Astyanax mexicanus: one gene and its partners. The protein of the gene in region 1 purifies or fractionates together with the protein of each later gene. This does not show direct contact. Links are inferred from orthologs where the notes say so. Each region holds a gene or a part of one and is shown in the gene's direction. Other genes may lie near its edges.

What was found.
Region 2: the proteins of slc30a4 (region 1) and stx8 purify together in Homo sapiens (co-immunoprecipitation; 3 studies listed by BioGRID and IntAct, with this or other methods). This does not show direct contact. The link is inferred for Astyanax mexicanus from reciprocal best matches to the Homo sapiens genes SLC30A4 and STX8.
Region 3: the proteins of slc30a4 (region 1) and pds5b purify together in Homo sapiens (affinity purification with mass spectrometry; 3 studies listed by BioGRID and IntAct, counting the BioPlex papers as one, with this or other methods). This does not show direct contact. The link is inferred for Astyanax mexicanus from reciprocal best matches to the Homo sapiens genes SLC30A4 and PDS5B.
Region 4: the proteins of slc30a4 (region 1) and cip2a purify together in Homo sapiens (affinity purification with mass spectrometry; 3 studies listed by BioGRID and IntAct, counting the BioPlex papers as one, with this or other methods). This does not show direct contact. The link is inferred for Astyanax mexicanus from reciprocal best matches to the Homo sapiens genes SLC30A4 and CIP2A.

Annotation. Positions count from the first base shown.
Region 1 is NC_064416.1:44,422,915-44,431,070, reverse strand, and holds the start of slc30a4 (zinc transporter 4), read left to right. Parts: upstream 1-4,896; 5' UTR 4,897-5,102; intron 5,103-6,330; 5' UTR 6,331-6,526; coding exon 6,527-6,923; intron 6,924-8,156. Other genes in the region: bloc1s6 (biogenesis of lysosome-related organelles complex 1 subunit 6), read right to left, coding at 862-1,057, 1,580-1,646. UniProt on the Homo sapiens protein: Probable proton-coupled zinc ion antiporter mediating zinc import from cytoplasm potentially into the endocytic compartment. Controls zinc deposition in milk.
Region 2 is NC_064412.1:26,665,866-26,673,538, reverse strand, and holds the start of stx8 (syntaxin-8), read left to right. Parts: upstream 1-4,362; 5' UTR 4,363-4,368; coding exon 4,369-4,412; intron 4,413-4,530; coding exon 4,531-4,630; intron 4,631-5,984; coding exon 5,985-6,079; intron 6,080-7,673. UniProt on the Homo sapiens protein: Vesicle trafficking protein that functions in the early secretory pathway, possibly by mediating retrograde transport from cis-Golgi membranes to the ER.
Region 3 is NC_064425.1:46,070,614-46,078,308, reverse strand, and holds the start of pds5b (sister chromatid cohesion protein PDS5 homolog B), read left to right. Parts: upstream 1-4,529; 5' UTR 4,530-4,671; intron 4,672-5,018; exon of another isoform or gene 5,019-5,177; intron 5,178-7,695. Other genes in the region: n4bp2l2 (NEDD4-binding protein 2-like 2), read left to right, coding at 1-848, 1,226-1,350, 1,921-2,009, 2,183-2,259, 2,916-3,078. UniProt on the Homo sapiens protein: Regulator of sister chromatid cohesion in mitosis which may stabilize cohesin complex association with chromatin. May couple sister chromatid cohesion during mitosis to DNA replication.
Region 4 is NC_064408.1:99,719,358-99,726,847, forward strand, and holds the start of cip2a (protein CIP2A), read left to right. Parts: upstream 1-4,279; 5' UTR 4,280-4,351; intron 4,352-4,458; 5' UTR 4,459-4,485; coding exon 4,486-4,550; intron 4,551-4,864; coding exon 4,865-4,967; intron 4,968-6,486; coding exon 6,487-6,634; intron 6,635-6,807; coding exon 6,808-6,920; intron 6,921-7,490.

The DNA of each region.
Region 1 (8,156 bases):
TTTATATTTTTAAACCATTTTAAATTATATTAGATAAGAGGAAATTCGTTCAGACATCATTTTTGTAGGCCAGGCTTTTGTAACCGATTTAGCCCCTACTGTTGCCACATTACCCCTTACGTTTTATTATATAAATCAGTTTCGAAGAGCCTGCATTTTTTTTATCATGTATAATAGAGGTCTGCGCGAGACTGATTTTTAAACCCACTCTTCCACGCTCCGCGTTTCTGTCTCGTTACCGCTCCGCAAAAAAATAGCTTCTTTTAATCCCGCGCCCGCCCGCCACATACACATTTCTGCCGCTCCCGCCCCACGTTCCTAATATAAATTAAACAAACTACATTTAATGCTTCAAATTTACTTATATATTTATTAAAACAGCAGCGCCGTTCCTTACCCCAGTCCAAAGACCATCGGTGTGTGCGTGTGTGTGTCGGTCCATCCTGCGCGTTGAGAGTTTTCTTTAGGTTTTTTTTTTTTACAATTATTACAGTTTTCTTAACTATTTATTAATTTGCTCCCGCATCGTCTGGATTAAACTCCCGCTCCAGCCAATAACAGTTCAGTTCTGTACCGCGCGCAAGATATTCTGACGGGACCCGCGAAAACAGAAGTGGTTAGAGTGAGGTGGAACTCTGGAAAGGAGAAAAAAAACGAATATCCGAATACCAAAATTAAAAACCGAATACCTACTCAACGAACGAATATCCGAATACCCGAATATTCGGGTCCAGCCCTAGATGAAATGCTTTGTCTTTTTTAATTTTGACACTTTCTGAATCTGGCAGTTGTTCTTTACATTGTGTCAAAAAGAAATGTAATATATGTGTGTGTGTGTGTGTGTGTGTGTGTGCGCATTACGTTAGCTCCTGCAGGGCGTGTTTAGAGGTGTGTAGTTGGGGAAGGTAGTGGGAGATCAGCCCCTCGGTTAGTTTCTCCACAGACTCTTTATCTACGATCAGCAGGTCCTCCACAGGTCCAGCCTGAAGTTCAGACCCAGATCCAGCTTCAGCCTCCTCAGCCTCTGGCCCCGCCTCCGAGCCTGGCCCCGCCCTCTCTGCATAAACACCACATAGCAGAGCCCTCTCAAAACACTACACACTGGAGTTTAATTATTGTGAACCAGATTTTAACCTTAAAGTAAATACATGTGAATGTGTAAGGATGGAGCTGACTATATGAATATCGTTATTGTCCTGCATAGACCTTGTATCTCCATTTTTTTCATCATTTGATTGTTTATACTGTGAAAAACTGTCCTTATGAATGGACTAATATAAATGATTAAGATTTTTTTTTCTGATATTTTGTATATATGTATATATACATATACATATAAATATTCCTAAATTTACTAACATAATCTTAAGTGTAAACTCTCATAAGTAGCTCTGTGTCATGAATGTAAAAACACATGTAGTTGAAATTGAACATCTATTATATAGGTTAAACTGCTGTAAATTCAATTACTGATAAATTATAAAATTATTACATATGCTGTTATTATTATAATTACAAGTATTCATTAATCTGACTAGTTTATATATTAATACTCAGAATAAATCAGAGGTTGACTGACCTGTGTTAGTTGGAGGCTCCGCCCCTTGAGGGATGGGCCAGTCTGCATCTCCAGCTTTATGCTCCATTAGGACTAAAAGCTTTTATCGTAGCAACCCTAAAAGATAAAATAAAGGGTAATGTGCCATATTTCAAAAAACTATTAATCTACGGTAACTGGTTACTAACATAAAACACAGTTAAACAGTCCACACATGAGAAAAGTGTGTTTCTCATCTCTTTTTTTTTTTACTTTATATCTTTTCAATGGGGCAGCACGCTACGCAAACGGCGCAGCACACTTTAGCCGACTGTCAAAGAGCAGCCCTTTCTCCAGAGAATGTGGACATCCTCATCTTTTGAAAGAAAAACTTGAAAATATAAAAATATCTTTATTAAAGAAAAAAATGTTTTTTTCTGTTTAACTGTTATAGTAGGATAGCGTTCAGTTTGTTAAGGCTCTAATTGTTCTATTATTTTGTACATGACTGTTCCTGCATTATTTTATTATTTATTTTGTTATGTTGCACATTGCTGTAATAGTGCACACTGTTGATACCAAAAAAAGCCACTAGATGGCATTACATATATATCTTAATTAAATTATTTAAATTTGACCATTAGTGCCTAATGTGGTGTATTACAGATCACTTGTATCACTTTGCATCACTTATATCAAGCCCACCTTTTAAATTAAGATATTGTAAATTTGATGAATCAAACCAATGACTGACCATAGACTAATCTAAAACTGGCATAGGCCTCTCTGCTGTAAAAAAAAAAAAGGAAAAGAAAATCGAGAATCGAATCGAATCATGACCCTAAAATCGGAATTAAAATCGAATCGAGGATTTAGAGAATCGAGACACCCCTACTGAAAACTGACCTTTACTAAAGCAACTGTTTATCTATACGTTTTGCCTTAAAGTATATTATGTTATTCTCAATTTTTAATGAATTAATCAGTATTTTATCTTAATTAATATTTAGCACAATCAATATACTACCATCTCAAATATTTAGAATATCATTAAAATGTTTCTTTATTTCAGTAATTCAGTTCAAAATGTGAAACTCATATATTATATAGATGTACACACAGAGTAACACAAAGCACTTCATAATTTCCTCTGCTGACAACTTTTATGGAGATTCGGATTTCATTTTCCAGCAGGATTTGGCACACTGCCCACACTGCCAAACGTACCAATTGGTCTTATATAATATTGAATTTTTCTTATACACAGATTTATGGGTTTTTATTGGCTGTAAGCCATAATTACAGCCCAAACTATTTACTGAGAGTTCTGTACTGTACTGGAATCTCCTCCACAGTCTCCAGATCTCAGTCCAGTAGAGCAGCTTTGGGATGTGGTGGAACGGGAGATTCTCATCATGGATGTGCAGCTGATAAATCTGCAGTAACTGTGTGATGCTCTCATGTTAATATGGAGCAGAATCTCTAAGGAATGTTTCCAGTAGCTTGTTGGGCCCAACCTGGTACTAGCAGGGTGTACCTAATAAAGTGGCTGTTGAGTGTATGTACCACTATAAAAAACTGCCTTTACTCTAACAAATTCAGATTATTAAGGGAAGCAACTGAAACCTTTTGAAACAAATGTAACCTTTATATACATTAAAATTTAGCGCCCAATTAGTTGTATACAAAAAATAAAATCAAAGTTTTCTCCTGAGAAATGTATATTTCATTTATTAAGCTAACTGGAGCTTACATAGACTGCTCACAGCTTTAAATCCTTTTTTAAAACTCTCTTTTTAAATTACTGGGATAAATAAAAGCAATAGATATATTAAAAGAAATAAAAATTATAAATTAATTTTAACATAGCACAGCCAGTGTTGGACAAGTGTAGTAGGGTGAACAGCATCAATTAGTTATATATACATCAGCAAGTATTAGTTTGAAACTTTGACCGAACCTTAGCAATTATCTTTTGATACTGATATAATTCCGATATCACCATGCATAACTACCAGGAATACCCACCTCTAAAAATAACACTGGACCTTTAAAGGGGTACTAAACGCCCTGATTTTAGCTGGCACCACCCTCAGCTCAAATTTGAAAAAGTCTTAATAATGGGAGAGGTAGTTTAAGAGGGGGCACTGGGTGATGTATGGGTTTAGAGGCAGGACAGGAGGGAGTGCTGATTGGCTGAGCTGCAAATTTTAAGTAGGACATGTATGTCTTATTACTTCAAAGGAACACATTTCAGCTATTAATGGAAAAAATATGATTTAGAGTTTAGTGCCTCTTTAAAAAACCGGCTGCTATCTGTAACACCACGTGTTCTATTTTACACAGGTCAGGTCACGTGTACCCAAAGAAATCTATCAGTATATAATAGATGACAGTGTCCTGTTTAACTAATCTAATCTAATCTGATCTCATCATGATCAGAGTCTATCCTATTAAACCCGCACTTTAAACCCAACCGCATGTCTAAACCTCTAAACCTCGCCTGTGCATCAGCCTGCTGTTAATCCCGGGTATATAAAAGCTTTATATTTACCTTTAATCATTTCTGAGACTTAAAACCCCAGATATTTCTTCCTGAACTGATCAGACCTTCAAAACATCATGTGACATCTTACTGAGACCAGCAACAGCAGCGACAGCAGCGCGCCTGCGCCAAATCACAGCCTGTCAAAATAAAAGTCTCCTTTTATTTAATGAAAACTGTATTAATTACATTTATTCATTCTGTGTGTTTTCTTAATTTTTTACAGTTTAAATCTAATATTAAATACTGTATTAAAGCTTTACAGGAACACATGCCAAATTATTCTGTAAAGAAAAAATATTAAACAAACCAGCATACGTTTTATACTGTAGTTTCTTCTAAGAATCACATTTATATTTAAGGACAGATCTGCACACTCTCGATATTTTAATAAAAGGAAATTCACCTGGAATAGTTTCCTCAGCGTCTTAAAAGGAGTTCCTGGAGGTGCTGAACAATAGTTGCTGCTTTTCCTTCGCGCTGTGAAGCTCCAGCTCATCCTAGATCTCAGATTGTGGAGGACTACATTTTTTTTCTGTTTACTACGTAATTCCATATATGTCCCTTATTTTTCAGCATATATATATATATATATATATATATATATATATATATATATATATATATATATATATATATATATATACACTCATATGTGTTTTTATTATATTATTAAAATAAAATAAAATAAAATAAAATAAAATAATAATAATAATACATCATTATTTTCTTTGTTTAGAGTTTATGGTGACTTTTATTTTGGCAGAGCAGTCAGGTGACTTTCCAGCGACTGTGTCTCACTTCACAGCTTCTGAGCGACAGCAGAGAGAGAGAGGGACGGCAGCAGCAGCAGCAGCGGAGGAGAGAGAGAGACATACTGACACTGACACTACTAACACTAATGCTGCGGTCTCACTACATACACGCGTGTGAGAAAGAGAGTGAGACAGAGTGAGAGAGAGTGTCTGTGAGGAAAATGGACAATTAACGACTCGGCTGGGAGAGAGACGGAGGAAGACGGTGAGTTTGTTTGTGTTTCAGAGAGACACGGCCTGAGAGAGAGAGAGACGGATACAGGGGTAGAGTAAAAGAGAAAGAGACAGGTAGACAGTAAAATAGATAGCTTAAAGAAAGGCGGGACAGGTAGAGAGTAAAGGAAAGAGAGACAGGTAACCTAGAGGGTAAGATAGAGAAATAGAGTAGAGGAAAGGGAGAGAGACAGATAGAGAGTGAAAGAGAGAGTAAAGGAGAGAGACAGGTTGAGGGTAAGAGAGAGAAAGACAGTAAAAGAGAGAGTAAAGGAGATACAAGTAGAAAGTATGAGAGAGGTAGAGAATAATAGAGAGAAAGACAGAGGTAGAGAGTAAGAGAAAGAGAGGTACAAAGAAAGAGAGAAAGGAAAACAGAGAGAAAGAGGCAGAGAGAAGAAGTAAAGGAGAGAGTAAAATAGAATAAAACAGAGAGGGAGTGTGAAAGAGAGAGAGAGGCAGAGTTATAGAGTAAGAAAAATACTAGGTCTAGCACGATAAAAATTGTTTTTGAACAGTATATAGTTCCAAAATGTTTTGCGATTAAAGATATAATTGTCATATGAGTTTTTTTTAAATCATAGTTTAGGAAAGAAATACTTTATTTCTTCACCTACTGCTGTCCAGAAAAAGGAAAGAGTAAAAGAGCAAGTGAGAGAGAGAGGGTAAAAGAAAGAGAGTAAAAGAGAAAAGTGAAACAGAGAGGTGGGAGTAGATACAAATGATGTTGATCTGAGTGTGTTAATCAGGTCCTGTTAAAAACACTGGGGTTCCCCACGAGAACCGCATTTTTAATCCATCCAGCATCTTTCAGAACAGGAACTGAGAAGTGTTAAGAGATTTTCTAGGTGATTTTGGAGTGAAATTAAAACTACTTTTTAAAAGGCAACAGAACTAAAGCAGCCCAGGAGCTGAACCAACACAGCTGAGTGAAATAAAAAGTTAAGAGTTAAATAAACAGTTAATAACCAGTGTATTTAATATTATATTATATTAAATAATATTTGATTATTTGACTTGATCTGGTTCTTTCCAGAACAATTAAAGATCCCTTCTTTTTTTTTGGATAGTGTAAAAAAGCTACAACGCAGAGCTTGAAGGGAAAGTGTTGTTGTTTAGTAAAGGGACACAGTCCTCTGTATATATTGCTGTCATTGCTGTTATTACTATAATTGCTGTTATTATTATTGTTTATTATAACGTATTGTTTGTAACTGCAGGTGATGTAAGATGATGACGTTATGCAGAGTAAACCTGAGGATCCTGAGAGATCACCTGACCGCTGCAGCCTCCCCTCAACGACAACACTCCGGGCCGAACCTGACGGACTGATTTAACAGCTGTCTTTCGTAATTATACACACACTCGTTTATACACGCATTTCTCCACGTTGTCGAGCAGCTCATTTCCAGCACTATGTCTGGGATGGACTTACTGTCCCGCATGCGCTCAGCGCTGCGCCGGGAGCGGTCGGACCGGGACTGGAGTGCGACGACCCCCCTGGACGAGGAGCTGGCGGAGGAGGACAGTCCCCGGTTCAACCGGCTGAAGGTGGTGGTCTCTGGAGAAATGGAGGACTACACGGCGGCGTCCTCCAATGGCACCACAGTCAACACCTTCCTCACCAATGGGGACGATGATGATGACTCTCTGCTGGGCCTGTCCTCAGGCTCGGGCAGCCCCGGGGTCACCGCCGCTGAAGCGTGCGAGAGCTGTGCACGGAGGAAAGAGCGACATAAGCAGAGCCGTGTGATGAGAAAGCTAGCACTGGCCGCTGTGCTGTACTTCTTGTTCATGATAGGAGAACTTGTAGGTAAGAACCATTAAGAACATTGGGCAGTACCAGATCAGAATCTTATTCCGCTATTAGAGCGTTTTCACACCAGCACTATTTTGTCCAGTTATAAGGAACTCTGGTTCGTTTGTACCAGAGACTGTAAAAAAGATGGACGCCGTGTCGCCATTCCCATTCCCATTACTATAGCTGTTGCATTTAAATAATGGAGGTAGAAATACAGTATATAAGAAAAAAAACGTGATTGAAAGTTGTCTGTTTTGCCATTGAAACCTATGGGGATGGGTGAGGTTACACAGCTTTCTGAAACCGAACAGCAGGGGGCGCCCGACCTGTGGTGGCTTCACTTTTGAGAGACGATGCTCTGTCCAGCTATACACAGTCTATGGTTTGTACCCTTAGTGTTGTTTGATTGAGGTGTGAACACATTAGTTGCACTCTAGTGTGGATCGCTTGTGGTGATAACGTGATCTGGTCTCAATCCAACACAGCTATCAAATACAGTCATTTAAATACATATTTATTTAAATGACTGTAAATAAATATGTACAAATAAATAATTTATATGTATTAGCCAGATTATAACACTAATTACTACAGCTATAAACAAATGCAGTCCCTGCAGCTTTATGCTGTTTACACACACACAGTAAGTGCAGCGTTCACTGCTCGCAGCTGTGCAACTCCATTTACTACTTTTACATCTGTACTCTGACCAATCAGAGGAGACAATGTGCTTGCGTGGTTTATTGGTGCGGGTTCTTTGGTGAGTTTAGGTTTAAGCCTGTGTGAAACCAAACCAAACAAACACGCTTGTGTGCGCGCTGAACAGAATATCTCTCTCAGAATATAGTTTTTCTCCTCTTGGTTGTTTATTTATTTTCCTCTCAAATTCACAGTTCTCCTCACGCGCTGTGCAAATTACCTGCAGCTTTTGTTTTTGCTCGAGCGAGGCTTTTGCGCTCGAGTTTTGAAAGGGGTGGTTTTGACAGTTTGGGGCGGGGTCAGGGTCGCCTCTCTCAGCGAATACTACTGGCTGATATCTCCAGGGTTTGTGACGGAACGCCTACCTCCGCTAGCCGGAGGGGGCGGAGAAAAAAGGACACAAGGAGAGTTAGCCAACTAGCTATGCTAACATCCAAACAGCCCGCTCTCCTGCGCTGTTAGCACGGGTATAGTGCCTGTAATGACCGGCTCTCTCATTTACTAAACCCGGGCAGACAGCGCTGGAGGGTTGTTCGCTCCAGATGC
Region 2 (7,673 bases), on another chromosome or scaffold:
AGGAGATTTTCAGTTTACAGAAAAATATAGTCTTTGACTATGCCTAAACCTGGGAAACTGGAATGGGAATGTTTACATTACCAGGCTGAAGTTACTCAAATCTGATTTTTTGCTGAATGTGGCTCAGATCTAATTTTTTCATGGCTGTGTGAATGTGCCAAATCTGACTTTTTCAAATCAGAGTTGAGCCATTTCCATACGTGGTCCTAAATTAGATACGAATTCGATCCATTGATATGAGACATGAATGTGAACTGTCAAATCAGAATTCATGCGTCTTTTTGCTTTTACGCATGTACTACGTGCTTCTCTCTTATACCCTCTCATATTTCTTGTGCCAGCAAAAGCAAACCGCCTGGCCTTTTTTCACCGCCTCGAGCTGAGCATGTACTTCAGACTAGTTGTTTGCTCTCCACTCGAGCAAAAGATGCTCCACATATGAGCTGCTAACACATCCATTTCACCTCTATAAAGGTACAAGTCGTCTCTCAAATATGACATTTTTGTTGTTGATGAAGAAGGCAATGTTTTAAAAGTATCAGTGTGTGCATGTTAGATGTTTCTGGGACAGATTTGTTCACATTACACACAGATACAGATCACTTACACTTGTGAATGTAAAGCGTCAAGATAGACAAAAAATCGGATTTGAGGAATGTGGCTTGTAATGTGAACGTAGACTTAGTGTACATGAATCACCACAACAAAAAGCAAAACAAAAATAATATTATGAAGAGTAATCAGTACAGTCTCTGAAAACCTTGCCATAATGTATTGTTGCTGTAAATCTAGTTAACAAAATATCTAAAAAACCTCATTAACAAAGAATGTAATGATAAACCAACCTACACCCCAATCCTTCCCCCATTACACACTTTAAATTGAATACTGCATAAATACTGTTTTCAAATGAAGTCACTCTTACCTGTGTGGTCTTTTTTGAGGTGTTTATGTGTGCATGCCTTGGATCTCTTGGGTGCCAGTTTGGTGTGGCTGTCATCTTTCTTCTCCAAGTCTGTCTGCAGGGAGAAAGATCTTCCAGTACTGGTCCCTTCAGACCTGGACTCACTGCTGTCATCAGGTTCACACATGTAGAAGGATCTGGACCTGGGTCTGCTGAAGTTTAAGTCAATCCTTCCAGAACCCTCAGGAACAAAAAGGGAACAGGAGCGAAGTCTCCGACAGCCAGCCAGAGGAGCGGCACCTGCATCGTTCCCTCGCTCCAAATCCACCAGACCAAAACGAGTAAATTCACTACCTGGGGAAACCTGAAGCATGGCTGTTATAGCACTACTTACATAAAGAACAGAAAGGTTTGCAAGAGTTTAGAAGACTCTAGAGTGAGTTAGAAGAGTTTAGATAAATGTGGAAGAGTCTGACAGCTTTAGAAAAAGAGTTACAGAGTTTAGAGAAGTTTAAAGGAGAATTTAGAATAACCTACATGAGCTTATGAAACTAATATTAGAGAGTAATATCTTTCTATGCCAAAGAAGTCATATTAATATTAATATAAATATTAATATAAATATTCTCCTCTATAATGTCTGAAGTTATGTTTCCACAATCAACATTACAAAAAAAATAACACTGCAACATATTTGTGAGGTATTGCACTTACAAAAAACAAACAAATAAACAAGCAAGCAAACAAATGTACAGCATCTCACATGACTTCTTATTCCAACACGTGTTTTTATTCTTGAAACAAAATATAGACAGCTTTTGGCCTTAAATGTGGGGCTTTATGATGTCTTCCAGTCATGTTACTTAGTGTCAGTCACATAAATCACGTTTTGTCAGATGACAAAAAAAGTTTAAAAATCTTCATATGATATCAACTTTGATTAATACATTGTATTGTATAAAGCCTGGATACTTTAGAAAGGTCTAACCTGTGAATATCTTGGTTCGGCATTGAAGACATTCTACTTTTTATGATTATCATTGATTAAGAAATTATCATTAATGAGGTTTATTAATTGAGAACTTATTATCATTGTTTACATTCTTATGTTTGGTATAAGTTAAAACCTTTTTATTTCATTATAAATTTTGTATTTGGATTATTCTCCTAATTTGGTAAAATAAGTAAATAAGTGTAAAATGTATATATATATATATATTATTTTTACTAGAAAGGACGTGACAGGAAAATGTCAAGGGTTTTCCTGCTTTTGGGGAAGGATTATCTGAGATATTGTCTCAAGTTAGTTATCATTACAATTCATTTAAGAAAATAAAATTTGTTTGTATTTTTTTATACCCATGGAAAAAATTATGTTAACCATGTCCTTGGACTCCATCTAAAAGTGGTCCCTTGATGTGCCTTTATAACATATTATGTGTTTTCTTGTATTAGAGTAGTATAAGTATTACATTTATAATACAGAAGCATGAAATAGTCCAATATACTGGTCCTGTGGAACTTTACACATTAATATGACATGGCTGTGAATATAATATTTAAAAATCAACAAGCTGACTGTGTCAACAATTTGGCTGACTAAACACCACAGACAAAAAAAAACAACAGATTGGATAAGTTTCTGCTGGGCTTTTAAAAAAGATTAACCCTTTTTAAAAAATATTAACTGTACAACTGTATACAATAAACTTAGGGTTAAATGTGCGGATGTGAATTTAGGAAAGGTTTGATTACAATATTGTTTTTGTTAATACACATTTCTTCATAATGTGAATTTAGTCATTTTTCTTTGTGCTGTATAAAAATGCTCCAAAATGACTTAAATTGTATAAAATGTATTTTAGTATGTAGTATTTTAATTACATTAACTTCCATTCAAAGTTGGTAGCAACAAGGTTTTTGTTTCTCCTAAAAGGTTATAAAACATTTAGCATGATAGTGAAGGTTTGATAAATGTAAAATAATGTAATTAATTTACAGAGGTAATGGATTAAGAGAATAGTTTATGAGACAGGGGAGCAGTAGAAACAACTAGAAAACAGTAAAATACTGATTGAAAAGACAGAAGACAATTGTAGAGCATTTCTAGCTAGCTTTATAGACTTTTATACGAAAACTAAACAACTATGAAGTATTTATATATTGTAGCCTTTATTACTAGGATGTAAATCTTATATTAGAGTACTTATTTAGTATTTATATAACTTAACAAATGGGGACGAGCCCTGAAATAAGTTCCGTGAAACTAGCTGTCCTCCTGGAAAGCTATTTTGAAATGTTGATATTTTACCTGAGGATGTAGGCGATTTAACCACAGGTAACATTTATTTTCTTTATATTTATTTATTTATTATTACTTTTTATATGGAGCTATACCAGAGGAGATATACCTCTCTGAAATTAATTTAAAAGGGTGACATTTTAGAAAATGTGCAGAAATGTCCGTGTAAATAAAAAAACATTAGCTTCGCGTTTCCAATACCGAGTGCAGTTTGTCCCTTACAGCGCTCTGTACTCAGTCGCAGAGTGAAACAGGAAGCAGCTGATCGCTGTAGCTTTGTTTTGATTTTCGTGTTAGATTTTTTCTGCTTTTGAGTTTTCAGTAAAACTCTGGGTTAATTCAGCGCAGTTCAGATGAAACATGGCTCAGGACCTGTGGTAAGTCTGAGCTTCAGCCTCGCTTAGTTCTCCTTATACAGCGCTATATAAGTTATCTGTATCAGCAGCAGCTCGAGCTGTAGAGAGAGTTAGCTCAGGTCAGCTAACCAGATAACTAAAATCATTAACATATAGCTAAAGCTGCTGGAGAACTTCTTACTGCGTACTGTCCTGAGACCTGTACTTATCCGGGCTCTGGGGTTACTGGTGTGTAAAGACGGCAAATCAGTGTGAGAGATTTTTGTCCTGGTGTTTAGAGGGAGAAGCTCTCAGTCAGCTGATCCCAGTCTCATGATGCAGTCCTGCAGTTTAAACTCAGACTGTCTGCTGATAATTAGCGTTAATAACACCGCAGTGCAGACACTACCATACAAACCACACCATATAACGTAAACTCTGAACGTGTTCAACACTCCGACCAGATATTTCTTGCTCAAAAACAGAACAGTTTCTGTTTATGGATCTTTTTAATCCAGCGAGCTTTCTTTACTGAACTAAAACAGAAACTATAGAGGAAACTCCACTGCATTTTTAGAATTATCTAGCTTCATAACTGTAGCCAGAGAGATAACTTACGTAACTACCTAGCATGTTTGAGACAAGCACATTCAGGTTTAGTGTGCTTTTTATTTGCCCGTTTTATTCAAGTTGTCAAATTGTCAGTACAGCTAACCACACAGTAATATAATGTAATGTAATGTTTTAATTTTTATTTCTTAAGGTCTGTCAATCCAAAAACTTTGAAAATATCCTCAAGTGCAGTCACAAAGATCGTCAAAAATGTAATGATTAAAATGGCACTCATCAGGAAAGGAGTAGAGGAGAACTTGTAGGTTAGGTGTATAATTAAATATTGTTAATAGTTTTTTTTTATTTAACTGTTTAATTGATCTCGTTCTACTTTGTGTAGAAAACAGTGCTATTGTTTTGAACCACTATTTCATCAGGTTGCAGAATTATGATGCCACTTGCCGACTGGCCCAAGAAATCGCAGAGAACATCCATGAGCGGAACAGACTGCAGAGAACCGGTGGGAACCCTGCCAAGGTAAAGAAATGACCTCAAAATAATGTTAGAATTGATTAGAATTAGACAAATCAGAGTTTCCTCACAAAAACCATTGAACTCATGAGAGCTATAAACTAATACAACAGGACTTTACCAGTCACGCTCATCAACAGAGTGTAATACAGAACATTTTCACTAATTTATAGAGTAGATAATAACATAATAAAGAAACTGAGACAGAGAGAAGTAGCTGCTAAATGCAAACTGGAAGCCAGCCAGTATGTTACATTAAATTACATTACATTACATTAAATTACATTTAGCAGACGCTTTTGTCCAAAGCGACTTACAATAGTCAAGTACAAAGTAATAGAAGTTTAAAGGTAAAACATCTTTAGATAGGGGCTTAAAGGAGGTCAAAGGGAAATAATGGGATAGAGAAGTGAAGGAGGGGAAGAAGGAAATGAGGTTAGAAGTAGTTAGTGTGTTAGAGGTGTTAGGAGAGTAAGTGCTCTTTGAAGAGGAAGCTCTGTCTTCAGGAGTCTCTTAAAGATAGTGAGAGATTCTCCTGATCTGGTAGTAGAAGGTAGTTTGTTCCACCATTGGGGAACTCTGTATGAGAACAGTCTGGATTACTTTGTGTGAATGTTTGTTTGGTAAAGCGAGGTGACATTCGTTGGAGGAGCGCAGCGACCGGGAGGTGACGTAAGCCTTCAGGAGCAAGTGCAGGTAGGAAGGAGCGGTTCTGTCATCACCTTGTAGGCGATTGTAAGAGCTTTGAATTTGATGCGAGCATCAACTGGTAGCCAATGGAGCTCAATGAGCAGCGGGGTGACATGTGCCCGTTTTGGCTGGTTGAAGACCAGACGTGCTGCTGCATTCTGGATCATTTGGAGTGGTTTTACTACACAGGCCGGGAGGCCATTTAGCAGGGCATTGCAGTAGTCGAGGCATGTGCACAAACTTTCTGATTTGGTCTGTAGAATATTTCTTCATAGTCAGGCTAAGGCTGACAGGCTAATGGTTACCGTAATTAACATGAATGTCAACTTTAACTGTAATAACTATCATTTAAATTTTTTTGGAAATTTGTATAATAATAATGTTTGATAATGAAAAGAACACTGCTCTTTAGAAGCGCTTTAATGTTATAACATTATTGTATAAATTACATAAATGTGGTCTTACATTGACAGTGATTTTTTTTAATCCAATTATTTCTAGGACAATATGATAAAAAGAAAATACAAATGGCTATAAAAATACTGTACAGTGAATGTAGAGTGCATAGTGCACAGTCCTACCCAATATTACTGGTAGTAGTTATATCTGATGAATATAAGTTAAAGTTATTAACGTATGGTTAATTTAAGTTAATGCTTTTTCTGTGCAGCTCAACATGACTCTAAGAGCGTCGCTGCAGAAGCTGAAACAGAACATCTTACAACTGAGGGAGACACTGGTTCGAGCCTCATCACAGCGCCGCATGTATCCTTTCACCACTCTTCCAAACTCCTATAAATTATTATACACTCTTATACATGCTTATAAAATGTTATACAGTATTCATACCCCTTGTACTTTTTCACAGTTTGTCACCTTACAACCGCAAGCTTAAATGTATTTTATTGAGAATTTAAGTGATAGACAGACACAATGTAGCACATGATTGTGAAGTGGAGTGAAAATGATACATGATTTTCAAATTTTTATTCAAATAAAAATAATAAAAGTGTGACATGCAAAGTTATTAGTAGACCTATCTTTCACTGCAATTACAGCTGCCAGTGTTTTGGAGTTCCACTTCACAATTATGTGCTATTTTGTGTTGGCTTATCACTTAAAATCTCAACGAAATAAAATTAAATTTGTGATTATAAGGTGACAAAATGTGAAACTGTTCAAGGAGTAGAAATACTTTTATAAGCCATTGTACATGCTTATAAATTTCTAAATGTTTTTTTATACATGCTTATACAATTTTATACATATTTATAAACTCCTACACATTTATTCACTTTAATAAGCACTTATACATGCTTATAAACTCTAATATGTGCTATTATACACCTGTATGCACCTTATACACTCCCAAATATACAGATCTGGGGAAAAAATAAGAGACCACTTCAGGGTTTGAATCAGTTTCTATCTGATTTTGCTATTTATAGGTTTATGTTTAAGTAAAATGAGCATTGTTGTTTTATTCTATAAACTAAAGACAACATTTCTCCCAAATTCCAAATGTAAAAAATTGTCATTTAGAACATTTATTTGCAGAAAATGAGAAATGTCTGAAATATAAAAAATAAATATACAGAGCTTTCAGACCTCAAATGCAAAGAAATACAAAGAAAACAAATTCTTATATTTATAAAGTTTTAGGAGTTTCAAGCTGTTCAGTTTGGTTTGATGGCTTGTGATAATCCGTCTTCCTCTTGTTGGTAAAAATAAAATAAAAATCCTCATTTTTAAGTGGTCTCTTACTTTTTCCAGGGCTGTATATATATCTAAACACTTTTATACTGCCTTTTATACACCTTTTTTGATGCTTCTTCTAATAACATATCAATATCAATATAAATAGCAAAAATGGTTCTATTATTTGCAAAATGTTCCAGCAATTTCCATATTTGTTATTCTGTTGAGACGTTACAAAAAAACTGCCTTTATAGGCCTGAATTACATCTACACAAGTATAACACAAACCTACAAAAACAGCTAAAACTCTAAAGACTTATTCCATGAAGCATCAGGTGCGTGTAAAATTACATCAGGATGACAAAGCCTTGGAATCTTTCGGAATAAGGATTTATAAATGCATTAATTTAAAAAGCTCATGAACACTCTACGTGTCCTTCCAGATACACAGACATGTGGTAATGCTCTGGACGTTTTTGTGTCCAGGACTGGAATTCAGTTTTTCCAGCACACATGACCAAATTCCAGGCTGGTTGGGGTAAATCGTGGATGGGGTTTGTGTTGGATATTCATCCCTTGTTTTGCTAAAACTGTGGCAGCAGTGATTGGAAAAGCAGGAGGGGTGATGAATCACTTTTATTGGCTAATTGTGTTTCTGTAA
Region 3 (7,695 bases), on another chromosome or scaffold:
CCAGCACAAATCTTAAAAGATAATATATGTGAAGAGGAAATCTCAGGGGTTGATGCAGAAGAACGTAGCTATGAGAGGAGCAGAGAAGAAGTCATTAAAGAAATCGCTGTCAGCAGCACTGCTTTCATCGGCCCGGCGTGTCGACCCGACGCAGCAATAGAGAAGGAACTGAGTGATTTTTACAAAGAGCTTGAGGAGTTTGACCACCATGACAAAGTTGATGGAGTTGATGGAGAATTAGTAGTCACAGAAGGTCTTTCTCGGTTATGTGAACCAGAAACCAATCCATCTCCCAGAAAAGAGACTCGGGAAAATGATCACAAGAGTGCGTATAGGCCTTATCCAGCTACTCGACCTCAAAGAGACTATGAAAATTCTAGGACATGGAAGCCTCAACCACATAACGAAATTACATGGAACGGTCCTGATGCAGCAAACAGCCATCCAAGTCAGTGGCAACATCTTCCACCACCAAGGCTTCCACATGACCCACCACGATTTCCAATTCCTGGCCGCCGTCATTTCTTACCTCCACCCCCACCTATACCTCAGACTCCTACACCACCTCTGCATCTCCTGCCTCCTATTAACAACTACAGTCACCATGACACCAACAGCTGGTGCTCCTGGGAAAGGACCAATTTTCCTCTTCGTAATGACATCAGACTTTCTGCATCAAACTGCCCTGAGTCATTTGAACAGCGAGGAAGAGGTTCAGCTGACTGGCAGCCATATTATAAGACACAGCATTATCACGAGCGAGATCAGTACCAGCGTAACAGTGGCACGTCTCCGGTTTTGATTTTGATGAGAGGACTTCCAGGCTGTGGGAAATCAACTCTGGCAAAGTGAGTTTTCAGAGCGGCTGTACAATCAGTCAGAAGCACACCTGATTACAGTTGTATAATCTGTTGGCTTCAAATGCTCAATTAGTTGAGGTGTACTTTTGATTTGAATAAAAATCATCAGTCACACCAGCCTCTTTGTGGGTAAAATTGGTGGCCCTTGTATTAATGCATTATTTTAAATGGAAAATCCATTTTATTTACAATATCACACCGATATATATATAATACCATACATTTTTGTAATATATTATATAGAATTTTGCTGTGATTAACATCCTATTTTACATTAACTAAGAATTCCGCACATTTAACCTTCTTTTACATCATCCCTTTCTTTTCCCTTCAAAACACTATTGACTATTGTATTTTCTTTAAAGAGAAATATTGTCCTGTGGTCCTGATGGTCTAATACTGAGCACTGATGATTACTTCTTCCAAGAGGACAGCTACTTCTTTGACCCTACTTTACTTGGGAATGCACATGACTGGAATCAAAAGAGAGGTATTACTTATTTCTACAGAAGTTATCACATAAAAACATGAATTACATATTGCGGAGACCCTTTTTTAACATGAGATATGAAACACAAGAAAGAAATGGAGCTCTCACAAATACAGGTGAACAGTGTGAAAATATTGAATGGTAATATTTCTGAGCATATCGTGGATATTGTCAGTGAAAAACACACACTGACCAACTGACCATATTTTTTTAAACATCAGATTTTCCATATATACATAATGTGCTCTATATGGGAGAGAATTTAAACAGTTTGGCTACATCGTCATGTTAAAATGTAGTCAGTTCATGCAGTACTAATTTAGACGTACCCTAAATCTACTAGTTTAGAACTCACTGCATTGAGTGTGTTTTAAGGATATTTTTTATCGTAACCTACAATTTAACGTACCTTCAGCTGGTGTAACTGGTTACTTGGATTAGATTGCAGTCTGTATTAGAATGAGATATTCAAAAGTGTTTATGTTTTTGTTTTTAAAGCTTTGCTCTGTACTGAATATTCTTACATTTTCAGCTTCATAGCTAGCCGTATATTCTGTTTTTTTTTTTCAGCAAGAGATGCTATGTTGGACAGACGTTCACCTGTTATTATTGACAACACAAACGTTCAGGCCTGGGAAATGAAGCCCTATGTTACATTGGTAAGTTATCAGAAAAAATGCCAGGCTATCCTATAGGTTTCCTGAAATATGAAATATAACTGTGTTTATACCTGTATGTCTGTAGAATTTTCAAATAAACAGTGTTTATTATTCCTGTTTCAGTATGGTAATGTTTATGACTGTTTTGTATGTGCTATTTTATTTTTTTGCAGGCTTTGGAGTGTGGATATCGAGTAGATTTTGTTGAGCCTGACACACGATGGAAATGTGATCCCACTGAGTTAGAAAAGTAAGTCTGTGCATTATGTAGACCTGAGTATCCCAGGGAAGGCTCTGACTGTTGGTCTTGTGGGCACCCAATATGTATGTGCCAAGTAAATTTTCTTTGCATGTCCTCTTAAAAGTTTGGGAGCATAAAAGCCCACTCCACTCCTAAAAATAAAGATGCTAAAAAAGGGTTTGTGCATCATTGCCCTAGAAAAAACAATTTTGGTTGCATGTGACCCATTTATAGGCATAAAGAATCTTAATGTAAACTTTCTGATTGATAAAGATTCCCAGCACCCTCCTAAACCAACCCAAATCTCTCTTATGAATGTGTTTATCTATAAAATATCTCAGACAATGTTTAGTGGTTTAGTGACAAAAGTGAACCTGATTTCAGAATGTTTTTGATCAAAATTAAAGTAGGATATTGTGTTGTTGTTACTTATTCTTCACTTTATGTCAAAATATTTTTGGACTTTTCTTCTAAAGAATGTGTTTAATCATGTTCTTTTGTTCCCAGCCACTTAACCCTCCTGTTATGTTGCATGTCAAACTATTTTAAAGCATAAAAATAGGGGAACAATATTTGTAATTAATTTTGGAGCATGCTGGCCTTAATTAATATTATGGACACAGATAATGAGTAATACATTTAATGTGTTTGATTCATTTCAAAAGGAGGAATACACATAGGGTCCCACGGGACACTATAGCAAAGATGCTGGATCGATTTGAGCTGCCTATCAGTGTGGACATCGTGATGAACTCCTGTGAGCCTCCTCATAAAAGCAAAGAGCGCCTTTCCAAACCCTATGGACAGAGAAAATATGATAACTTTTAAATCTTTTATCAGACAAAGAAAATAATAAATATATATTTTTTACTTGAACTTTGGAACAAGCTTTTTTTGTTATTTAGTCAGTAGACATGTATTTGTGTTTTTAAACTTCTGTAAATAATGTTTAAATTTGTATGACATTTTGAATTATGCTCAGTTCAGGTCTTTATTTTTGGAAATTTGTGTACACACAAAGCTTTGTGATTTTGTATTTCTGTCCACTGTCTTTATATTGATTAATGAAGAAATGTCCATAATGTCCAGTTTAATTACTGACTGTAATAAAAAACTGATACCATACACTTTGTCCTTTTACACTGACTTTATAAACCAATGGCTACATTCACTGCTGTTTTCTTTTTGTTGTAAAACGTGGATGTTTTAACACTTTTGTTTGAAAGGAAAAAAAATAAACTCTCAGGTAAAATTTTAGCCAAATGCTTTCGTGAGGATAAAGTCATTTACAGGTACTAGATGTCTCGTACACTCAGTTCTGTCTCCCTGTTCTAAACGAGTGTCCCCATGGATGTCCCTTAGTAGAGTCTTTATTAGATTACATTTCAGAGAAGCGAAACCTTGGAGGTAAGATTGGGTTTGTAATCGGTACCTGTATCACCTGTAACACAGCTGCCTTTACTGCCTACAGCTTACATATAAAGATGAGAACAGAAATTATAAAATTACATCATATAATAATTATAATACTAAATACATTTCTATTACCCTGGTGGTAGGATTTGGGATTAGTTGGTTGTGTTAATTTCTGCAGGTTTTGGATTTAAAACTGTTGTTTTGGCAGCAGGGATTGGGGTTTTAGTCTAGGGGGTTTAGTCTGTTGCTTTGGTCAATGGATTTGGGGTTTAGTTTGAGAGTTGTATTCTAACAGGTCTTAGTCTGAATTGCTTAGTCTGAAGCATTTAGTCTGTTGGTCCTGTTGTAAGGGACTTATATATGTTTATATAAGTCTAAGGACAAACGCCGGAGAGAGAGCCTGAAGGTTTTAGTCTGAGGGGTTTAAATGTGATGATTTTAATCTGAAGAGTTTAGCCTGAGGATTTTAGACTGAAGGGTTTATGTCGACGGTTTAATTCTAAGTGTTGAGTTTGAGAGTTTTAGTCTGACAGTTTTAGTCTGATGGTTATATTATATTCTGAAGGAATCATTTAGTCTGAGTCTGGATCTTTAAATCTGAATTTATAATGAATGTTCCTGTCTGATTTATTTATTTTGAAGGGTTTAGTTTTAGTCTGAATGGTTTATGATTAGTTTTAGTCTGAAGGGGTTTAGTTTTAGTCTGAGGGGTTTAGTTTTAGTCTGCAGGGTTTAGTTTTAGTCTGCAGGGTTTAGTTGTAGTCTGCAGGGTTTATTTTAGCCTGAAGGGGTTTAGTTGAGTCTGCAGGGGTTTAGTTTTGTTCTGGGTGTTTTGGTGTGTCAGTTCCCGCCGCGTCCTGCATGTGGCGCTGTTGGCCCGGGCTGTGTGAGGTGAAGGGGCCGCTGGATTGGTGCAGCCAGCGGACAAATTGGCGCCATTTTGAAGCGGAGAGGAGGATCGGGGAGCTGGTGGAGAAGAGACTGGACTGCAGCTCCTCTAATCAGGTAGATTTTTATTAAAATCAGGAGCTGCTGTTCGGTGAGGAGTTACGGGATTTAGTGGCGGAGTGTGCGCGGGGAGCGGGAGGCTCGGCTGCCGGGGGGCGCGCGGGGGCTTTGTTGTGTTATTTCAGCGCGGATCCGGTTAAACTGTACTGAGGTCCATTCTCTCTCTCTCTCTCTCTCTCTCTCTCTCTCTCTCTCTCTCTCTCTCTCTCTCTCTCTCTCTCTCTCTCTCTCTCTCTCTCTCTCTCTCTCTCTCTCTCTCTCTATCTCTCTCTCCCTCTCCCTCCCCCTCCCTCTATCTCTATCTCTCTCTGATCCGGTTAAACTGAGGAGAAGCGGCTTCTCTCTGCAGGCTGAGGGGAAATATATGGATTTTTTGGTGATTTATCCGGTTAATGTGTAATTTTTTCAGCCTGAGCGCCTGTTTGAGTTGAGCGTTAGCGCCAGAGCTGATCTCTAGCAAGAAGGGCTAGCTGTTTATGCTAACTAGCCGTTAGCTTAGCTAGGTAAGGTTTTCATTATTTTATTATTTATTTAATTCCAAAAGAAGAGATTTTGTGCTTTTGAAAAATTGCACCTCTTTATGTTCACGTATCGGTCCCTTCTTATAGCTTCAAGACTTTTTGATTTTTTTATCTGTCTCTAGAGAGGTGTTTTTAAATGGGTTAGCTGTAGATGCTAAGCTAGCTCTCTAACTGCTGTCTGTAGCTGAGGGTCTGAGGGGTTAGCTTAGCTGTCATGTATGTAGCCCCTTTTTATTGTGAAGATAAATGTTCACATTTATTATCTGTTTATCGATAAAACTCTTGTCAGGTTTAGACGAATCCAATTTGATTCAGATTAATCACAAAAAGCCCGTTTTCTGACGAACGTTTTTCTTTGGTAAAAATCAGACCCTTCAAATCAGACCCCTAAATGTCACCTGTCAAATGGTTTCAGAGGATTATTTATTTAATATAAATACATTACCTATTGCAGCTAACTAACCTTTTTGTCTATTGTGTGGGTTACAGGGTTTGGGGTTTAGTCTGGAGAGCTGGTTGCAGGGTTTGGGGTTTAGTCTGGAGAGCTGGTTGCAGGGTTTGGGGTTTAGACTGGAGAGCTGGTTGCAGAGTTTGGGGTTTATTCTGGCGCACTGGTTGCGGGGTTTGGGGTTTATTCTGGAGCGCTGGTTGCAGGGTTTGGGGTTTATTCTGGCGCACTGGTTGCAGGGTTTGGGGTTTAGTCTGGCGCGCTGGTTGCGGGGTTTGGGGTTTAGTCTGGTGCGCTGGTTGCGGGGTTTGGGGTTTAGTCTGGCGCGCTGGTTGCAGCGTTTGGGGTTTAGACTGGAGAGCTGGTTGCAGAGTTTGGGGTTTATTCTGGCGCACTGGTTGCGGGGTGCGGGGTTTGGGGTTTATTCTGGCGCACTGGTTGCGGGGTTTGGGGTTTATTCTGGAGCGCTGGTTGCGAGGTTTGGGGTTTATTCTGGCGCACTGGTTGCGGGGTTTGGGGTTTATTCTGGAGCGCTGGTTGCGAGGTTTGGGGTTTATTCTGGCGCGCTGGTTGCGGGGTTTGGAGTTTAGTCTGGTGCGCTGGTTGCAGGGTTTGGGGTTTAGTCTGGTGTGCTGGTTGCGGGGTTTGGGGTTTAGTCTGGTGCGCTGGTTACGGGGTTTGGGGTTTATTCTGGTGCGCTGGTTACGGGGTTTGGGGTTTATTCTGGTGCGCTGGTTGCGGGGTTTGGGGTTTAGTCTGGTGCGCTGGTTATGGGGTTTGGGGTTTAGTCTGGCGCGCTGGCTGCGGGGTTTGGGGTTTAGTCTGGCGCGCTGGCTGCGGGGTTTGGGGTTTAGTCTGGCGCGCTGGCTGCGGGGTTTGGGGTTTAGTCTGGCGCGCTGGCTGCGGGGTTTGGGGTTTAGTCTGGCGCGCTGGCTGCGGGGTTTGGGGTTTATTCTGGCGCGCTGGTTGCGGGGTTTGGCGTTTAGTCTGGCGTGCTGGTTGCGGGGTTTGGGGTTTATTCTGGCGCGCTGGTTGCGAGGTTTGGGGTTTATTCTGGCGCGCTGGCTGCGGGGTTTGGGGTTTATTCTGGCGCGCTGGTTGCGGGGTTTGGCGTTTAGTCTGGCGCGCTGGTTGCGGGGTTTGGCGTTTAGTCTGGCGCGCTGGTTGCGGGGTTTGGGGTTTAGTCTGGTGCGCTGGTTGCGGGGTTTGGCGTTTAGTCTGGCGCGTTGGTTGCGGGGTTTGGCGTTTAGTCTGGCGCGCTGGTTGCGGGGTTTGGGGTTTATTCTGGTGCGCTGGTTGCGGGGTTTGGCGTTTAGTCTGGCGCGTTGGTTGCGGGGTTTGGCGTTTAGTCTGGCGCGCTGGTTGCGGGGTTTGGGATTTATTCTGGTGCGCTGGTTGCGGGGTTTGGCGTTTAGTCTGGTGCGCTGGTTGCGGGGTTTGGCGTTTAGTCTGGCGCGTTGGTTGTGGGTTTTGGGGTTCAGTCCGTTACCCTGTTAGCGAGGTGTGGTTTTCGGTCTGTAGCGCTGGGTAATGCAAAAACATGTTTTAGTATCTTGTTTTTGTCGCATTTCTTTGTCCTTTGTGAATCTGGTGTTTTTACATTGACTTTCAATGAAAGTTAAAATCTTTTTCACTGCTGTAAAGTTTTTGTTTTGGAAATGAGGATTTTGCACGATTGACCGTACACAGTGCACAAGTATTAAATGTGTGTTTGTTTTTCTTTTTTTTTTTTTTTTCCTTTCCCTCCTTTTTAATAAAGCTATTTGGTTTAAGTCATAAATGGGTTGGTATGAGTTCTTATAGAATTCTTAAAGAATGTAATGCAAATTAAACATCGCCTGCTTGGTATTAACCTTTGGGACTCCTCCTTCTGCATTGGGATTGGGTTCTTTGCTTATTTGTTTCTTGCTGTAAATAACGCCTTCCTCTCCTTTAGAGACTTGTCTCTAACTGGCAGGCATATTTTCTTGATGAATGGACCAATAGAAATGGTCCAAATAGCTTGGTATAAATTATATGGCAGTACAATTTGTTTATTGTCTGCAATGCAAA
Region 4 (7,490 bases), on another chromosome or scaffold:
ATAAGAGGAAACTCAGTAAAGAGTGAACTCTGTAGCTCAAATCCAGCATACTGTGATCACTACAAACACAACAAAGTTAATGTGCTTTTACAGCCTACAACACTGAGGCCTGGCAATCAACACATATATTATATTACTGCACGCCCAGGATCAGGTAGCTTTGTACAACAGACAACACAAAGATGGTAAGTAAGGGAGAGACCACACCCAATATGCAAATATTGACCTGGCAATCAACGTATATATTATAATTAGTGCACGCTGAAGAGTAAATGTTTATTACACTTTGGGTGTATTGACAAATATCTTTCAGTTATGATTACTTATCTTAGTATCTATAATTACATAATCATTGTGTGAAACCTTGTATTTTATATGCATTAACCAATACTCACCTTACATTTGATCATTTTTACTCACAGTGTATTTTACACGCATTTATATAGAATATTAACCAATAATCACAATATATTCTTTACATATATAGTAAAACATTGTTTGATCAGGCATGTGACTAACACCGACCTTATTATGACAAATTAACCCACATGATACATAAGGCGTTTACTAACACATAGGACCTATTATATGGCGGTCTAACCACGCGCCACTAACACATTAACATATAACATATGAGATCTATTGTGTGACGTGTGTAGCTCATGCTTGAAGCATTTCGTTTACTGCATGTCTCTGACTAACGGCCATCAATCATCAGCTAGTGCACTCTGGATGAACTAAATTGATACAAAGGAGGCTTCGGGACGAACAGTGCGGCCTTTCTCTCTGTGCGTGCAAAGTTCTTCACCTACCAAAGCGGGAGGACGCGCGCACATAGGGAGGGCGGCACTGTCTAATTACTGGAACAATATCACACTGTCTGACTGGACCCAGTCAATTCTTAAAATAATACCACACTGTCCGGCTGGATACAATCAAGGCCAAACACTAGTGGTCCGGACAGACCTGTGAAACTTGAACACTAACACGTGAAAATATGCATACTAACATGAGATGATTTTAGCAACGCCTCATCAGCAGGTTTCACGTCATTTGGGGTATAAACATGGTGTCATGGTCAGAACAGAATAGCAGACAAGCGCAGATACTGATAAAAACAATATACATTCTGGGTAGTGTAGTTGTTAACCTGAGAACCTCCGTTAGAGCTTGGTGTGGAAGGGACAGAGGAGCTAACAGCACCAGACGTGACACATGGAGTCAGATCAGAGGGGGGACAGAACTTTTACTGGGACGTCTGTTAACTGTCTTGTATGTATTGGTTCTCCTGAATTCAGTAATAAATACTTGGTTTGCTTTCAACTTCACTCCACCTGTCTACGACTCTCTATCAAATGAACACGTAGGGGAGTTGTACCCCGGACGAGAGGTGGGGGTTAACCCACCTCATTTTCTTTTCTACAACAACGCCCAGAATAAGGTAGCTTTGGGCAACAGACAACACAAAGATGGTAAGTAAGGGAGCGGCTACACCCAATATGCAGATATATGGTACCAGGAACCAATAGGAAAGCTGCATGAACCAACACTGTAGAAAGAGCTAAAAGTTGGTTGAAATCACATTTTTTCATTGGCTCAACAAACCTTTTTAAGTTTTCCGGTTGAAAACAATGGAGTTGTACTGGCCGGTGAGTTCACTCAACTTAATAACATTAGTTTTTCTGACTAAAACACAGAATTACTTTTTGGAGTGTTGGTGACTCACGCAGCTGAAAGTAATCCCCTTTAGTTTTTTGCTCCTTGTTATTATTAACTGCTATGCGTCGGTTAAAAAGTGTTTAGCCCAATGCGCCCACGGTTTTAAAGTTGTAAAAAGTACTCCAGTCTTGGAGTCTTGCTGCCTATCACTCTACCTCTCTGCATTTTCAAATCTTCACACTTTCATTTTTTTTAACCAATAACTTAAAAACGTAAGTTGAATAAACTTGGGTAAATTTGAATAACTCACAGGAAGTTAAGACAATATGTTATTTTAAGTTATTTTTATGTAAAACGAAGGAACTTGAGTTCAATATACTAAACTTGTCATGGCAATTGGAATTGAAAAGAACAAATAAGTTCACATAACTTAATGTGGCTGTAATGTTTTACAGTGCAGTCTCTGGGCTATGTATTGAATGAGTCCCAACAAGTTACTTTCCTAGTTTCTTTACTTTAACAATTATGGTTAAATATCAGTCAATGTAATTCAATGACCTCTTTAAACCTTTGTGTTTAAGATGGAGGTACTTAATAAAGCTGCCTTCCATTTACAGGTTCTGTAAAAAAAAAACCACAACGCTTCCTCTGTCCTTCCGTTTGTGTTTCTATTTGTTGCAACAGGTAGCCTAAAAACTCCTCATACGTACAGACGAGCCTGTCCTCTATGCACCCTGTCAAGCATGTCACTTCACTTTAATGAAGAGATAAACTGGCAGTTTTGCTGCCTTGTGTAGGACAATAGTTTTGCATGAGTGTCTTAAATAGGTAATGTTTTACTTTGACAGCGTACATTTTTTAATAGCATACATTTAATCTACTGATAATACAGCAGAGTTGTATATTGTAGTATAATGTGGCAGTTTATTCAGTCAGATAGAGGAGCAAAGTGTGAATATACAGTATTTAATATCTTGTTTTTTTGTTTCTCAAAACAGTTATATCTCTGGATTTTGAGTTTCAGATGGAAAGAAATCTTTTTGGATACAATATTTTGGAACTAGCAATTACTCTATCTATATATCAAAATTTAAAGTTACCAAAAAAGTCAAAGAAGGCATCATTGGCCTTGCCCTCTCAGGGGTAGGTTGATGACATTTCCTCACAATATCACTCATAATGTGCTGCTGTGTGCTGCTTGTATGTTGGTGGGATTGCTAGTGATAAACAATGGTATTGGCCTTTCAAACTGGCTGGAAAAGGGAGTAAACTTAGAAACAAATTATACAAAAAAAGAATATATGTAAAAAAAATAGCTCATCATCACAATTGTTTTCACATACTGCTTCCTTAAACTTTGGACAAGCATAAAATATTGGGGCTCATTTTTCCTCTTTATGGTAGAAATTGGCTTCCATTAGGCTACATGTCAAGGTTATGTGTGAATCCCTTACTTTTCATGTTGTTGTATGCAATTAACACATACTCATACTGAGTTCTCAAACTGGTCTTTCTCTAGGGTAAAGGGTGGGTGAGTTCTGACACAACACATAGAATGCTTGGTTAAATGGACCGCCCACTTTTTTCTCCCAGATTATCTCATAATTCAAATTTAGAATTGTGATATATGCTACACGACTAACTGTGCATCAGTCAGTTCACTTTTATGGGTGTAAAAAACATTTTTGCATGATATCCATCTTATCCCACCACTGGTTGAATGTGTTAAATTTCGACTATAACAATAGACATGGCTCTCGAAGACAAATTTTCAGTGTTGGAATAAAATCAGGCTGGCTAGAGTTGAGTGGCAGTCGAGTTGCGCTCGCGTCATCTTGATCGCTCAGTGTTGTTGAAATGTGTTTAGGATTGAAAGTTTTAGTCAGCCTTTTTCTCATCCTCCGTTCAGATAAAATCAACCGTGTTTAATATTATTGTACGTCTTGAGACTTGGCTCACGCAAATAGGGTGTGAACAATGTCAACAACCAATAGGAGAGCTACGAAAAGCCACAAAGCAAAAATATATTTGAACGATTTGAAAAATATATATGGTCCTTACTTTAATATATACAGCATTTTAAACACAGGTAGCACTTCATCAACAATCATTATATTTAAAGTTATTTTATTTTGCACTAGTACTTTTTCTTATTGAGCGGTGTTATTTTTTTATACAAACAACGTTTATTAAATACACATTTTGCAAGAATGTTCTTCATTTCATTAATTCTATCTAAAACTAAGGCAAATGGATAGCAGTTATTCTTTGCTATACAAGGTTATAGCAAAAAATATGGAAGAATAAGTTTACAAGAGATTTGAACACAAAATATAATCTATTATAAAAATATCAAGAACTAACAGTGTGGCAGAAAAAAAATGTTGATGGGGACAAAAGTTATGAGTCTCATGAATCTAAATCATAGTGTCAGACTTTAGTCTATTAAAAGTATTTTTAAAGTCTTTTCAAAGTCTTCTAGTGTATGGTTAGAATAGGGTGGATAGCTAGTTCACTATATAGGGAGTAGGGTGTATGGAGGGATTTTAAATGCGGACACAGCGTGCTTAGTGGAGGCGTAGCAAACGTGCGATACGTAACAACGTCACTGCGTGGAATTGATTTTGGTAGGGGGGGATTTATGTATTTTATGTTTTTAGGTTTATGTATTAAACACCTCAAAAACTTAAAGGTTTGTTCAAATAACAGCACCATATAGTACTAAAACTTAATCTAAATAATTCAAGTTTGTGTTAAACTAAAACTACGCGTTTTCAGTGCTCACTGTATTTCCCACAGGTCCACACAGCTCCCCCTCCGTAGGACATGGACTCGCCCAGGGGTTTGAAGTGGAAAGCGGGAGTCAGGCCGAGAGGAGGACACAGAACCCTGTTAGGACTAAATACAATAAATATAGTTATACATATATGTATATAACTGTATCTGTATGTTCGCGGGCTCTGTGTTACGTGGGGCGGAAAACAGACACGCTGTTTGGGTGTAGTTTAGTTAGTTTTCCGCCTCAGCATGAAGGAGAAACAGCGCTGAGACAGTCCGTTACACTAGAGGCTAAGCTAAGCTAACTGAGCGAAATCGAGTTCTGTGCTTCTGTGGCTTTTGTTTACTAGTGTTTACTGCTTTAATAGAGTCGCCTCCGCCGGTTATTTTCATAATTTATCGGCTATTTAACTTATTTAACCCCCAGAATGGACGTGACTACGTGTCTGAAGTCTCTGCTTCTGGCGATTCGGCAGTACAAAAACAACAAAAGCACCCTGAGTTCATCACAGCTGCAGAAACAGATCGAGGTGAGTCAAACTTACAGTCTGAGCCCCTGAGGTGACCCAGAGTAGATAGCCAGGGTTGCCAGGTCCAACAAAAATATCCAGCCCAAAGTCAGTCTAAAATCTGATCTTTAGAAGCTTAAACTAGCCCAATATATATTTATATATATACATATATATATGTCTGTCTCACGTTTGAAGCAAATGCCAAAACAACTCTGAGTGTACGACTTAGTGTTTTGTTTTATAAGGGGTTTATTATCCGTATTGCTATCTGTCTCATAAGTCATTAATAATATTGTAACATTAGTGTTTAATTAGTTATTTTACATCTAACAGTTACTAATGATGCTACATATTCTAATAATACACTCCAAATATCTCCATTATAATAAAGATTTGTGACTTACTCTACTGTAATATAAAATGTAATATAAAACACTAAGGCTCTGCTTACTATTGGGTTTATTTTGTCTCACAAAATTACACAATATATGAAGAAATTAGACTTCATTAGCATGATCTGAAGCATGTAAACAATAGACCTTAGAAAGAGGTATGTCAACAATTTTAACACTGCTTCCTTTTTAAATAGTTCCATAAACACTGTGAATGGACCTAAAATACTCAATCTTTAAGTATTTAAAAGAGGCATTGTTCAAAAGCTCCTTTTTACAAATCAGACACAAGTTTAAATCAATATCAAAATAATAATACGGAAAAAAAAATAATAAGTGAGCATTAGTGCTGCACAATATTAAGAAAAACAGACGTGATAAAGTATAGTGCAATATTTAAAAATACAGGAACTGTAGGGCTGGGAGGTTAATCTAATTTATTTGATTGAGTTACTGTTTTAATGTGATTCTCAAAATATGAGGGATTCTCAGTGGATAAACATTTGCTTCTGTCAGAAACCTGTAACAAACTCTTTTATGTGGCAGGGATTTTCATATTTTACACTTTTTATTAACTGAAATACAAGCCTGTTATTTTTGCACCGTATTTAATATAAAAGCTGCATGTAAGGTTGAAGGGGTCTGCTTACTGTATCTAACAAAAGTTTGAACGTTAATGTAAATTATGCAGTTTTTTTCCAAATCGCAATCAAGAATATTAAGGTATACATACAGACTTATGTATTTATCAGTGCATAAACTTGATTTTTCTTTTGACGCCTCTACAAACTAGTGAAAGATATTTTCACAACAAAGCACTATTATAACCCTAGATAAGAGCACCTTCTAAAGTTGTTGTATATAAGTGTAAACCAAATGTCACCAGAAATGCCAAAGTCAATGATTTAGCATGTTGTGATATTAATAATGAACCCTCTGCCTATGTGCAACAAATTGGAGTAATATAATGAAGCAGGGCAAACAATCTGTGTCGGAGAAGTTAGAATAATTTTGTGGGAAATTTCCTTTAATTTCAAGCAAACTGTAACACAAAGTGTTTGATTTCATTCCCCATAATTGGCGTGTGAAAATTGCACGCATGCACATTTGAATTTTACATAAAGGTCTGTCTTTTCTTTCTGCAGGATGTGTCAGGCCTGAAGTGCTCTAGACTCTTAACATCTGGTCAGGTGCTTCCCAGCGAGTGTTTGAGTGGCCTGTTGGAAGTAGCCGGAGATCCAAACACCAGCCATGCCCTTACTGGGGCCATCCTCTCTCTGCTGTCACAGCTTGGTACTTACTCACGTCATCTATCTGTAAAGGCCCAGAGTTTACTTATATTAATAACATGAAGTTAAAATTATATGAAATGTTATGATAAATTTCCCATTTCCTTGAAAGTTACCACTGCAAATTCAGGGCCTTGTTTTGACAGCCATAAAAAATGCCTTTTTCTTTCTTGGTAGCGTCTGATGATGAGAGCAAAGAGGCCCTTCACAGCAGTTACAGCATTGTTGGAACACTGGCTGCCATCGTCCACTGGAACAGAGCCACCCCAGAGGAGTCTGTTGTTTTACAAGTAAAAACTCCTATCGTTCTACCTACCAATGTCCATGTCACCTACTCATTTACAGTGAGGAAAATAAGTGTTGATTCACTGTTGATTTTGCAAGTTTTCCCACTTTCAAGGAATGGAGAGGTCTGTAACTTTTATTGTAGGTACATTTTAACTGTGAGAGAAAGAATGCCACTAGATGGCATTACAAATGTATCTTAATTAAATTATTTAAATTTGACCATTAGTGCCTAATGTAGTGTATTACAGATCACTTGTCTCACTTGCATCACTTATATCAAGCCCACCTTTTGAAATAAGATATTGTAAATTTAATGAATCAAACCAATGAATGACCATAGACTAATCTAAAACTGGCATAGGCCTCTCTGCTGTAAAAAAAAAAAGAAAATAGAGAATCGAATCGAATCGTGACCCTAAAATCGGAAATAAAATTGAATCGAGGATTTAAAGAATCGTGACACCTCTAGTGTATATTATGAGACACTGGAACAAATAACTTTGTAATGATGTGTACAGCTTTGTCTAGAAAAGGTGTCATGCTATTTTTAATCACACAAAAATGTAGGTACA